Drosophila melanogaster: one gene and its partner. The protein of the gene in region 1 interacts with the protein of each later gene in a pairwise test. Each region holds a gene or a part of one and is shown in the gene's direction. Other genes may lie near its edges.

What was found. The genes of interacting proteins can lie anywhere in the genome.
Region 2: the proteins of CG14860 (region 1) and Ndf interact in a two-hybrid assay, tested with the Drosophila melanogaster proteins (one large-scale study listed by BioGRID).

What each region holds. Positions count from the first base shown.
Region 1 is NT_033777.3:14,892,838-14,897,742, forward strand, and holds CG14860 (uncharacterized protein), read left to right. Parts: upstream 1-1,946; 5' UTR 1,947-1,997; coding exon 1,998-2,235; intron 2,236-2,295; coding exon 2,296-2,849; 3' UTR 2,850-2,886; coding exon of another isoform or gene 2,887-3,553; 3' UTR 3,554-3,609; downstream 3,610-4,905. Other genes in the region: Dph2 (diphthamide biosynthesis 2), read right to left, coding at 1-817, 871-1,032; Nup93-2 (nucleoporin 93kD-2), read right to left, coding at 2,887-3,553, 3,616-4,905.
Region 2 is NT_033779.5:10,002,030-10,010,021, forward strand, and holds Ndf (Nucleosome-destabilizing factor), read left to right. Parts: upstream 1-1,802; 5' UTR 1,803-2,017; coding exon 2,018-2,097; intron 2,098-2,280; exon of another isoform or gene 2,281-2,505; coding exon 2,506-2,542; exon of another isoform or gene 2,543-3,014; intron 3,015-3,394; coding exon 3,395-3,477; intron 3,478-3,538; coding exon 3,539-4,388; intron 4,389-4,445; coding exon 4,446-4,556; intron 4,557-4,878; coding exon 4,879-5,149; intron 5,150-5,222; coding exon 5,223-5,312; intron 5,313-5,384; coding exon 5,385-5,474; intron 5,475-5,537; coding exon 5,538-5,737; 3' UTR 5,738-6,860; downstream 6,861-7,992. UniProt on the Drosophila melanogaster protein: Nucleosome-destabilizing factor that is recruited to genes during transcriptional activation and colocalizes with a subset of trimethylated 'Lys-36' histone H3 (H3K36me3)-enriched regions. Binds DNA (in vitro).

The sequences.
Region 1 (4,905 bases):
CGATCAGGACAAAACAATCGATTTCCAGGAAGTTAGCGAGTTTGGCTGGGTTAATCCTGCCCACGGAAATAAGCTGCGTCTTAATGCCTCTGCCCTTCGCCATTGTTTGCAGTCGCGTCACCACATCTAAGTAACCTTCAGCCGAAAGAGTGGCCACAATGAGTCCCAGTGTTTGTGCATCCTTACACTTTTCGATGTGGAAGTAGCGACGGCGGATGAACTGAGCCGTGAGGGGATTTTTTGAGCTGAGACTGTCAGATGATCCATCGTAGATGTGCCATTGCACGGCAGCTGGAGCGGTCAGAGAGAGATTAGCGAATCGCTGGTTATCGGCGCCTATGAAAATACAAATCCTCTCAAGGTTCGTGGTCTCCCTAGTTGTCGTTGATTCTGCCTCGATGGGCGGAAACAGTTCCAGCAGCAGTTCTTTGGGCTCCAGGATCTCGGACAGCTGCTTCTTTAGCTTTTCCCCGTACACATGCTGGTACCCAATGTCCAGGTACACGCATACCTGTCGATCTATGCTCTCCGCGCGCAGACCTTGCAGCTTGCTCAGGAGAACATTCACATCCAGCGGCAACTCTGGATAAAGGTAAAGTACCGGCAGGCGGGCGGCCCTACTGCGACATGCGTTTCCGAAGTGAATCACACTGTCTGCATCCACATGGGCAGCCGCAATCTCGTCCACGCAGCAGCTTCCGTATGTGGTGTCCGCCAGGATGAAGACTTTCACGTCCTCCGGCGCAAGTAGCTCCTTCAGGCCCACACTAATTGCATTGCTGTGGGGCAGATAGTCGTCTGGGAATTGCAGGCAAACCTAGAAGAATACGCTTTAGACGGTAATTCCAAAAGCGTAGCCGATAAACACACCCTTTTGTAACCACTTTTGCGAATCCAATCTACGCTCGATCGCCGGTGGTTTTCGTTCCAGATCTGTTCCAAGGTCACCGGCTGCTCCACTTCCGCCTGACGCTCCAGGGCGGCTGTGTCCGAGCTCGAGAAAGCCGATGCTGATGTTTCGGACGAGGTCATTTCAAATCACTTTCTACTCAAGATTCCTTTGTCCAGTAAAAAAGTATCAAATGCATGCAGCAAAATAAACAAAGTCAAGATAACACCGATGCATTAGACTGGATTAGAAATTGAAACGGACAAAGAGAAACGAAACGCAACTTTGTTATACACTCACGAAGTGTATATTAGTTATATTAGAGAACGGATATATTGTAATAAATAAATATATAAATTAAAGTACAAAAAACCGAAGTCGCTAAAAGTTCCTATTCAAATGCTAGATCCCAATTTAAATCATCTGTTAGTAAATAAAAATATAAAAATCAGAATAGTTAATTTTATTTTAAACCAGTTTTGGTTTAATTTAAATTAAATAAAAACCAGAATGCCTGATAGTATTTAAAGTGTTTTCATTTAAAACATTGTTGCTTATTCCTAAAATTATAAATTAACATGTAAACTATTTAATTCAATTAACCTGAAGAAAAATAATGCATATCTGAGTTATTTATAAATTATATTAAGTAAAGCAAAAACCTTATATTCAGGAATATAAAAAAACTCATTGACCTTAGTAGAGATTCATATCTTAAAAATCGACGATTTTGCAAATTATAATTTCTTTAATGAAAGTGTATCACGTGATCAGTGTTCTTGCTAATTTGGTTGGAGGACAGACTTACCGAAGACTCAACCCCGAATACTGCGTGACCACAAAAGTTCGCTTGCTCGTTTGAATTAATTTCTGTTGAAGCGCAATAAACAATTTAAAAATTCAAAAAGTTTATAAACCTAAGTCCTGTAATGTTTTCCCCGATACAATAAAAAGCTTACTAAAGAAGACATTCAGGTACCCCCTCTTTTGACCAACGTCCAGTCACTGATCTTGACCCAAATTTAAGTTTCACGCGCCTACCAACACTTGTTGCTTTCTCCATTTCACCTACCAACATTTCACCAAACTATATTAGCAGTCCAAAAATATGAAAAACCAAAACCTTCGCTGCATCGTAACCGATTGTTATAAGAGTGGTCAACAGGATAGTAGCTCCATGTACAAGTTCCCCATAAATCCGGTTGTCCGGCAGAAGTGGTTGGATAATATTGCGGACATAAAAGATATTAACTTGTTCAATAGTCGGGTGTGTAGGCGGCACTTTGAGACACAATGTTTTGGCAAGACCAAGGTGTTTTCCTGGGCAGTTCCCACACTTTTCTTGAGTAAGTGTATCGAAGCAGCCTCCTAGATAGCTTCCTAAACCTGTTCTCTTCATGATTTAGATACAAAAGAGGTAGTGCACCAGGTCAGTAAGCCAAGCAGGAACTCCTTCATTCGCAGATGCAGCGTCAGGAACTGCTCCTCACGATCTCCTCCAGAACGACTGCACTTCTTTCCCTCGAATCCCGAAATGCGCAAGGCATGGATGGAAATATGTCGGCTTACGGTGGACAACAAGTGGCTGTTTATTTGCGGCAGACACTTTCGCCGGACTTATCTGCCAAACAAGGGAAACCTTAGAAAGGACGCCATTCCAGAGTTCCACTTAGGAACGGAGGAGGAGGATCCCCTCGGAAAGAGCATCAAAAGTATGAAATCATGTGCTAATAGAAGTAATATCAGTTTCAAGAGCGAGGATTCTGGCATTGACGAGGAAAGCTTTAAGGAGAGTAAGCCTCATAATAATCCATGCGCCAATTGCCTTGATCTCCAACAGCAATTGGCAGCAGCTCATCTTCGCATTCAGCAACTTGAGGAAAGAAGGCAAGAGGAGACAGACAGTGATGATGATGAGGAGGGGGAGGAGGAGGAGCACATATTCATGCTAATGAAGTAGACTATTGCTTCCCTTTATCCCTTAAAGTATATTTATTTTAGTGCATATCCAGTTCGAGTTCAATCAGTCGCTTGTTCGTGTCGTTGGGCAGGCGATACGGCATAGTTGCTGCCATGTTGGACAGGGCTTTGGCTCGCTGCCGGAGTTGCTGCATCTGGGTCTGTTCCAGCGAGCTGCCTGATCCTGCCTTCAGCTGCTTGTACTGCTTCTGGGCGATCTCCATGGCGGCCACTATAACGTCGGGCAGGACCTTGATTACCTCGCCGCTAAGTTGCTTCACATTGCCCAGTACAACATCGACATCGTCCAACGTATTGGGCACCAACTGGGTTTGCCTGAGCAGATCCAACGCTGCATTAAATTTTCCGTCATGATAGAAGTTGAAGAAGATAAGCAGATCCTGCAGCAGCACAAAGCTGCTCTTCATCTTGGGTTCCACATCGATGCTGTCGCTAGCCAGCAGCTGGTTGAATCTCTGAGCGTCTTGGCCAAGGCGTTCCCTTAACGATCCACCTAGCGTGGGCAGGTGCACCACCTGGGCCATCAGAATGCAGATGTGCTTCACGGCCAGGTTGTACTTGCCCGCCATTTCGTACAGCCGCGCCGACATCTCAAAGTTACCCAGCGCAGCCAGTTCGTCGCCCACCTGAGCGGCCATGGTGCGCGTGTCGAACTCCGGGCATTCGAACTGGCGGAAGAGTCCACTAAAAACACAAGAGACTAGACTTTAGACTGACTGAATAAATGTAACATTGCATATAATCACCTGTTAACATCGTTTTGGTCACTCGACTGCCGCTTGCCGAATATCAGATCGAAAATGGTGGTATCAAAGACTCCGCTGTCCACCACAAGATCGCACACACAGGCCATAAACATGTTCCGGCCCTTGGAATCCTTCAGACAGCGCAGTGTGTAGTAGTAATGCAGCGCCTCCGAGGTGTCTGTCCGCTCAAATCGCTGCACATACTGTCGGATAAGCCGAGTTAGGTTCAAGCGCCTCAGTGGCTGCGGATCTTTAATATCGATCGAAAGCAGGGGCTGCGACACACTGCGCGCACTGCCTAGAAGTCCTAGCTCAAACAGCGCTATGGCCATGTGAACTGCATGTGCCCGATTTTCATCTTGGCGCGCCAGGAACTCGATGGCGGCTTCAAACTGGCCGGTTAATGCAAGGGTCTCGAAGTAGAGATACGGCTGCTGCCTAGCATTGAAGTACTTTTCACCATACTGTTCCAAAATCATTGACTGCAGTTTACCATAGTTGTCAGCGTCACCGGGCTGTATCATGGCCAGCCGCATCCAAAGGAAGTCGTCTATGGTCTTGGCCACTTCTCCGTGTACTTCATTGACATCGCAGCCCAAAAGGATGCAGTAAACGGCCTTCTTATAGGCATCGGTGGAGTTGCGTATTTTGTTGGCGTACTGCAGTCGCAGTTGGTTTTCTATTTTGGAATTGGTTTCGCCGGCATTGCGATCTGCAACGAGCTGGGCAAACTCATCGTGGCTACTGCCCGCTTCGCGCAGGAACTCAACCGCCACCTTAACCGCTCCGCAGCGCAATCCGTAGTAAACCAGCGGCCATAAGGGTATTTCGCGGACGGTGTCCACAAGTCCGATGGTCTGCTGTGCTCTGAACCGGTGGTTTACATAGGCCACAACCAACTGATAGCTGTTGTTGGCATAGGATCCACCGACTTGGGAGCACATGAACACACGATAGCGCCGTTCTAGGTACGATTTAGCATAGGTAACAAACTCCGGTCTTTGCTGTCGGCTCTTGATGGGGTCACTGCGCAGCGGCTCGCTGATTTGGGTGACGCAAGCCAGCAGGGTCCACATGTCCGTAAGCCGGCAATCTCCGAAGCTCTGGGACAGATGAGCGAACTTTTGGACGAGATTGGGTCGATGGCTGCTCTTAAGCAGCAGTTCATTGTAATGCCGCAACTCTTGCGCATACACTAGTTCCAGCGGATCGAGGCAGGAACGTGGCTGACAAAGCGGATTTACGATGGTGGGTTCCGGCAGCCGTTGTAGGTCGATAAAGTTCTGTGAC
Region 2 (7,992 bases), on another chromosome or scaffold:
CATGTGCGCAAGTGAATAGGGTATTAATTGTCTAAGCAATTGGATCGATACGATCCACCCCAAATTATCCCTTGATAAAGTGAGTGGTTTTCATAAAAAAAAATCAAGGATAATGCAGGAAAATAATATGATAATCGGATCACTTGGAATCTACTCACTCGAATCGGAATTGGATGTAGCGCCGTTGTACATCGCCTCAGTTGAACAGCTGCAAAGATATTTTAATAGTATTACGTACAATTTTATATTATGTTTACAATAATATACCAAGTTAAGGGTCTTCAATCCAAAATGCAATCCAGTCCAATATTTTCTGAAAGTCAAATCAAATGTAAATTAGCAAACATAATTTTAGTTAGAAATAAATACATATTACTAAAATCCTACGTTCCAACTTTCAATATGCGCGAAACCGACTGAATTCCATTGGCAATCATTTCCAATATTCCAACCAATTCCAAACAACATGCTCACACACGCATACATGTACATACCCACTTGTAAACAGAGAAGCGGCTATTTTCAAAGTGTCAGCACAATTGGAAGATCGTAAACAAGAACGGAACTTGAGATTCAAGACACTTTCGTCTGGAAGTCAGAAAAAAGTTAAGTTACGACCAATAGTTCACATATAAATCTATTATACTTGAGTAAGAATAATAAATATTTGCTATTATTGGTCAACGGAACCGACTTTTTTTGCACAGCTAGAATGAAGAAGAGCAGGAAACTAATTCTTGCCTTCCAAATTAATCGATGTTTTAAGCTTTAAGATAAGCTCGATATCAACTTTTATCGGAATGGTCAGATCGGAATTTAAAAAAAAAAACTTTAATTTCTCCCCAACTCAAATTGAAACACACAAACAAATGAATGTACTTAAACCCTTTTTTTTTGCTAGCGAGTATGCGATCAAAACTAGAGAAACATATGTACGTTTTTTCCCTTATAATTGATGGCAATCTGGTCCCAATAAATCCTTCTCACCCATTTCGCGCCTGCTAATTGCCAAACAAAATGCAATAATTCAACCCAAAAGCACGCTTTCTTTTCCTAGCACAAATACAATACCCCTTTAACGGCCGCAATTTCCCTTTTTCACCCTTTTGTTTGCCAGGTCACCCGAAAAGTTTTACCGAGCAGGGTTGTCGCATGACCCCCCGCAACCCACAACCACAGCAGCAATCGCTTTTTATTCTCTTTTTATATGATTGTTTCATATTTATGAGGATTATATGGCTGATGCTGAGTGCTGAGAATCAGAGAAAAATTGAGTTGGACGTGTGGTAATTTATTTTTCGGCTAAGGGGACGGACTTGTAGTTAACTGTTAGTTTTCCGAGCTCAAGATCGCACAGATTATAAAGAATTTACTGTGCAATACTAATTAAATTTATCTTTATCATTATTTTACTTAAACGGAATTTGTATAAGCCAAAAAACAAAATTTATTAATAATCTCCAACTAAAAATGTGTATCAATGAAATTATTTTCTTATGGAATTAAATTTCAATAGTTTATGCCCGCCTTTGTATTTAACATCTAAACATTAGAATTAAATAAAGTATTTAAAAAAAAATTTAGCGTATAAAAAGCATGGATTGATTCCAAGTGCATTTTACGAATTTGCATTGAATCACGATAATAATATTCACTTGTAATACTTAATTAAATAATTTAATTCGGAACCCATATTAATTTACCGAGTTCGAGGCGGGTTGGCAGTCCGATTGCATGACGTAGCAACGCCGCCACTTTCCAGCACTGGCCGATTGCCAGCCAAAATGGCGCCCGCCTGCTATCGCATTGCTCGAGCAGATATCGGTTCGGCAGCGCATCACACACACAACGCGAAAAAAAAAAGAAAAATACGGGTGGCCTGCAAGCGAATATCTCCGAAATTCATTGAATCCCGACGCCGAGATTTGTGCTCCGATCCGAGAAACCCATTAGCTTCCGTGCACCGTCCGCCCAAGCCAGCAAAATAACCAAGTTCAACATACGCCTGGACAACATAATGTCGAAGAATAAAAAACTGTCGCTGTCGGGCGGCGATACGACGGAGAAATTTATTTACAAACCCAAGGATCTGATATGGTAAGCCGGGACCGTGGACTCATCAATATATTCGCTGTATTCTCAGCTGCGCTGCGCCGTGAAGAAACAAGAAAAAAAAAAAAACGAGAGATGAAAATCAAAGCAAACACCTAACCTCAATTGCGCACCGTTGGCGCTCGGAAAAAAAAATATGAAGAAAAAAAGAGCCAGTGAAGTGTGCATAAAAAAGCAATTAGCGCTGCCTTTTTGACAGCCACGCAGCGCAGTATCCATGTAGCTCCATCCGAATGACGACCATAATTCCGGAGCTACGTGCGTGGATTCCGGGCGCGCGACGTCGACTTCGCTGCGTTGGCGCTTTTTTCGCGCGCGCGCCCTTTTTTCTTGCTTTTCCTCCTTGCGGCCAATATGAGTTTTCCCTGTTCTGATAGCGCATTTTCTTTGCAGGGCCAAAATGAAGGGCTTCACTCCGTGGCCAGGAATGGTAAGCATTGCAGTTGGCGATCGGAATGTTTACGCCGCGTCGACGTCGCGTCGCTGCCGCCTTCTCTGCTGCCATGTTGTTGTGTTTGTTTTCGACTGTACTTTTCGATTCAACGCTGCCGGCTTCGCTGCCGCCGCTCTGCCCGCAGCCACGCACTTGCACACATTGCCCCATTGCCGTTGTGGTTGTTGTTGTTGCCGCTGTGCTGTTGTCGCTGCCGGCGGAGGAAATGGTCTCTTCCATGGAGCCGCTATCGGGGGCCACGAGCAGCAGCTTTTGATCGTGTGTACAGCCGCTGGAAAGCAGCATGTGCACTCGGAGGAGGGGGAGTGACGCGCGGCAGGCGTGGAGTTTGAACACAGACGTTGCCAAGGATATCAGTTCCCAGTTTCGTTATTCTATGCCGTTCAAAAGGAGTTTTGTTAATATATTAACTTTTATTTGACATTAACATTCTCATCGGTAATCTTGTGATATACCAATCGGTTCTTTAGAGTTTTGTGAAATGTGCTAATGATAGTGAATCACCTCAGCTAAGGTTTTATCAAATCAAATTGGTTTTGTGCAAGTTGCTAGAAAAATGAGGATATATTTTTAAATCCTTATAATTCCTAGCTCAAATGTAAAGTTAAAGAGTGGTTTTCGATTGAAATTGGAAGTGAAAAAGCAACATTTGCATATGTTTTGTTTCGTGCGTGATAAAGTCTTGTAAATGGGTTATCACAGAATAGATTAGTTCGAGGGAATTCATAGGCACATCCTTATAGAGTAAAATGCATTGTCTGCTTAAAATGTTTCTGAAGACTTTAAAGATATGATGTGGTGGAAGCTAATGTTGATTTCTCTCCTTAGATTGTCGATCCTCCACTTGATCTGCTCAGCCAGCAGCGTCGGGCGAATACCAAATGCGTGTTTTTCTTTGGATCTAGGAATTTGTAAGTAAAATGCACGCCAACCCCAAAAAGCGCCTGTAATAACATGGGTAATATTTAACAGTGCCTGGATTGAGGAGAACAACATCAAGCCCTTCGAAGGACCGTGGAAGGAGGAACTGGCCAAGGTGAGCAAGCCCGCTGCTTTCCGACACGCCATGACGGATATCGAAAAGTACATCGACGACCCCGCCGAGGTGGACGAGCAGGTGAACAAAAGCTGCGGTGCGCCGAATCACGCAACCGAGGCTGATTTTGACAAGATCCGGGATGGCCTGGACAGCGAGGAGATTGTGGGAGAGGAAGCAACTGCCGATGGCAACAATGGAGTGGTGGCCCATGTGGTGGGCAGCCCCGATGAGGGCGATGGCTTGGATGTGGAAATCAATGCAGATTCATCAGCGTCACCAGTCACGTCGCCGGCGGTCACAACGAAGGCAGCTGGCAAGCGGACGCCGAAAGCAAAGTCCGTGGCCGCTACATCGGTCAAGTCGACAAAGGGATCGGCAAAATCAGCACAGAAACGGCGTACCTCTGCCCAACAGTCGCCCAGTGGGCCATCGAATGCCAAGCGAGGCAAGCGTGATGTTTCCGGGGAGGCATTGCAGGACGCGGATGAAGCCAGCTCCACGCCCACTGGCAGACGTCGGGTCGAGACTGACGCACTCTTGGCCTCAATCGCTGCCAAGCGTGCACCGAATGCAATTGCTCTGCTTGACCGACCGGTTGTCACGCGGCCAGAGGCCCAAGTCATCGACATGAGCTCGCGCTCCAACACACTGGCCGATCGCGATATCGTGCCTTCAGAGCAGACCTTCGGCTTCCTGGGTCTTGGAATGATGGGATCCACCATAGTCAAGGATTTGATCTACACGGGTCACAAGGTTGTGGTCTGGAACCGCACCATTGACAAGGTAAAGTTTTACGATAGCAAGTTCACACATGAATCCTACAACAATCTCGTTTTGTAGTGCCAACCGTTTGCCGAAGCCGGCGCTGAGGTTAAGGACACTCCCATGGATGTTGTGGAAGCTGCCGACGTTATCTTTTGCTGTGTGTCCGATCCAAAGGGCGCCAAGGATGTAAGTCATAAAAGGTTTCATTTATATACATATTTAATTTGGGAAATGCCTAAAACACAACGTGGTTAACAAAACTTAAATTTTGGCCTTGGGGTTCCTATAAAATTCAAATGACTCATCCGCGCTTGTTAACTTAAAAAGTACATATGAATGAAAGCACGCAGTTTAAAATGACGATTTTCTGACGCTCTCTTTGCAAAGCGATCTTCCTTACACTGTATAAAATTAAAATATATTAGAATACAAAATAATTGTGCAACTGGGAGGGATGGCGTAATTTAACATTCTTCTTATTTATGCATTCGTTTTATTCGATGTTTAGCTCGTATTTGGCAACTGCGGCGTTCTGCAGTTGAAGGACTTGAACAATAAGGCCTACGTTGAAATGTCTACAATTGATCCGGACACATCGTTGGACATTGGCGAGGGCATCAAGCAGTGCAACGGTCGCTATCTTGAGGCACAAATTCACGGCTCTCGGCAGGAGGCTGCCGAAGGCATGCTCATCATTCTCGCCGGTGGAGATCGTTCAGTGTTCGAGGAGTGCCACTCGTGCTTCAAGACCATTGCCAAGAACACCTTCTTCTTGGGGAGTAAGTACAGCCTGCACTGCTGACCATTTCCTTTGAAACAATTTATTAAAATATGTCGTTTGTTCACATCTAGCAGATATCGGTAACGCCTGCAAAGTAAACCTAATTTTGCAAACCATCTTGGGAGTGAGTCTGGTCGGGTTGGCTGAGGCGTTAGCACTTGGTAGGTTTTATTGTATATTGTTAGCAGTAAGCAGCCTTAACTAATTGATCTTTTTTTTTATTGCTTTTGCAGCTGATCGGTTCTCGATCTCTCTGAACGACATCATAGACATTTTCGATTTGACTTCAATGAAATCACCCATGCTGCTGGCTAAGGGCAAAGGTATGGATAGCACCGTGGCTATTTCCTAGTGTTTATCTTATCCTATTTTGAATTCCTTTGCAGAAATGGCCAAGGGTGACTTCAATCCCCAGCAGCCTTTGAGCCACATGCAACGCGACTTGCGCTTGGTGTTAAACATGGCTGAGAACCTGGACCAGTCCATGCCCGTCACCAGCATCACCAACGAGGTGTTCAAGCACACCAAGCGCTTGGGCTACAGTGAACACGACTCGAGCGCCGTATTCGTAAGATCCAGATTTTAACATTTAGTTAACACGACTAACGTTTAAACTATGTTTTATCAATTAGTTTAAAGCGTACACCGAACAGAACGACAGAACCGACAAACGACTGACTTAAAAAAAAAAAACTAAACAGGACAGTAATAGAAACGCATAACCCTCACTTATTCACCCACCAATCCAAACTGACAGAGGCGTTCGTTCACAAGGAGTTCTCCTGCCCTTGTGATTGGCAGCGCCACCACCCCAACCTTCTGCATCTTCCCCAATCGCCCCATATGCAAAGCGTTTAATGCAATATGTCTACGATTCGCCGGGAATCGCAGAACCGTGTCGTCCTGCTTTCAACGCAGGAGCCACTGAAGAGCGCTTGGGTGAGTGTGTTCAACAGCTGGCGGATGAAGAGCACAATCTTTCCGGGATCACTTCAATCAAGTTTAGAGTTTTTTTGTATTTTATTCTTTGACGGGTGAAACGCAATCCCCAGAGAGGAGGGAGGAGGCCAGGGCGCCGTGTTTCCGATTTTATATGTGTAAGGTTTTGCTTTCCAAATATCATTTTTACGCATGTCCATACATAACTTGTAAGTGTATAGAATACTGCATCCGAATAAAATGTACAAAGCATACTTGTGAAAGACAACGCCGATTTTGAGAAACCGAGCGAAGTATGGAACCCTCCAATGTGTGTCGATCCAACCTCCCAGCCTCCCACTTTTTGTGCATTTACTCCAGTCCTAAAATTGTATACATTTAAAATCCCCTTTTTTTCTATGAGTAAATAGTAGGCTAATCGATCATACTGCGTAGAATGGCAAACATATTTGGAGTGACGGTAACGATAGATTGGTTTAGTTTTAGCCATCTCTCCCCATCATCTGTCACTGCAACAAACGAGACACAACCTAAAACGGAAAAAACGGTACAGAACGCACCACAACCGATACGCAAACGATACGAAAACGTAAACTACACAACAACCGGAAGAAAACAAAATAGAGTAAACTTTGATCGAACCCTTTGCGTGGGTCGCTATTAATAATAATAATAAGAATATATAATAAATAATATATTTTACTTATTATTTAGTCTGTATTTTGTTGTAAAACAAAGATTAATAAAAAGATAATTTTAATAGAGGATGTAAGGAAATTAAATTGAGTTCGCATTGCAATATTCACGTTTTGCTTGATATGGTTCATATATATTTTGGATAATACAGTATTAAAATGTAAGTGCAATTTAAACTTTATTTAAATTGACATACATTAAAGAAATGTGTGTTTTGGGAGAATTTCATAATATTAAAGTTATATACAACTTGGTTAACCTTTTCGATTAGTATGAAAGGTATATTTTTACTTATTTTGTATTGTTTTTTATTACCGTAAAGGAAATGGGAGGTTTTCTTCGCGACACAATTTTATTATTTGTATAATCATAAAATTAGTTAAGAAAATTCAATACCTTCTAAAAATATTGATTTCATATTTTTTTGTTGCTAAATGATCCTTTTAACCTATGAATATGAAACATTAAAATAATTCAAAAACAACTAGTTCCCATTTTTAGTGGTTCCAGCGATAGGAAATAATCGCTTCACGGAGTTGCTGGAAACATCGATAGCATCGCGTGAACATCGACTTTTGTTCCATCCCTATCGTGGATGTTTATGTGGTGCGTGTGTGGCAGAATTATTATCAAAATTATTGAAAGAATCAATTTTGAGCCCGCAGATCGTCACACTTGCTAGAAAATGTCGGAAAAGAAGCGAGCCCGTCGCCGCAAGGATGTAAGTGCTAACTGTTTCCAATTAGATCCTTCTAAAGGGGCTGCGCGTGTGTGGGTGCCACAGTCCAATTGACATGCCGAAAGTGTTTGTTTTTTGTTTTGATAAAAAAGGAGAAAAAAAACGTGTGCATGCAGAAAAAAAGTAAAATTGACTCGAAAAGAAACAAAACGCTGAATTGCGAGTTCAGATGGGTCATTCAATATTTTAATATTATTTGTGGGGGGCAAGTTCAGTGCAGGTTGCGCTGCTCTTTGGAGAAACCCCCGTGGGATGCCCCCCGCCCGCAAAAGGTCTATAATTAGCTTTATGGAAAATGTCTTCGCTGCGTATTTAGCTGTATCTGGAATTTGAGTTCTACCTTTTCTTTTTTATTTTTCAGTCAATTAAGTTTTGGGGTCTACAATACAAACAGCTGAGCTTACAAGCTTTTGCCTATCTGGCAACGCCGTAAGTCCGTCTTGTAAGCCGATCTCGCTCATTCGCTG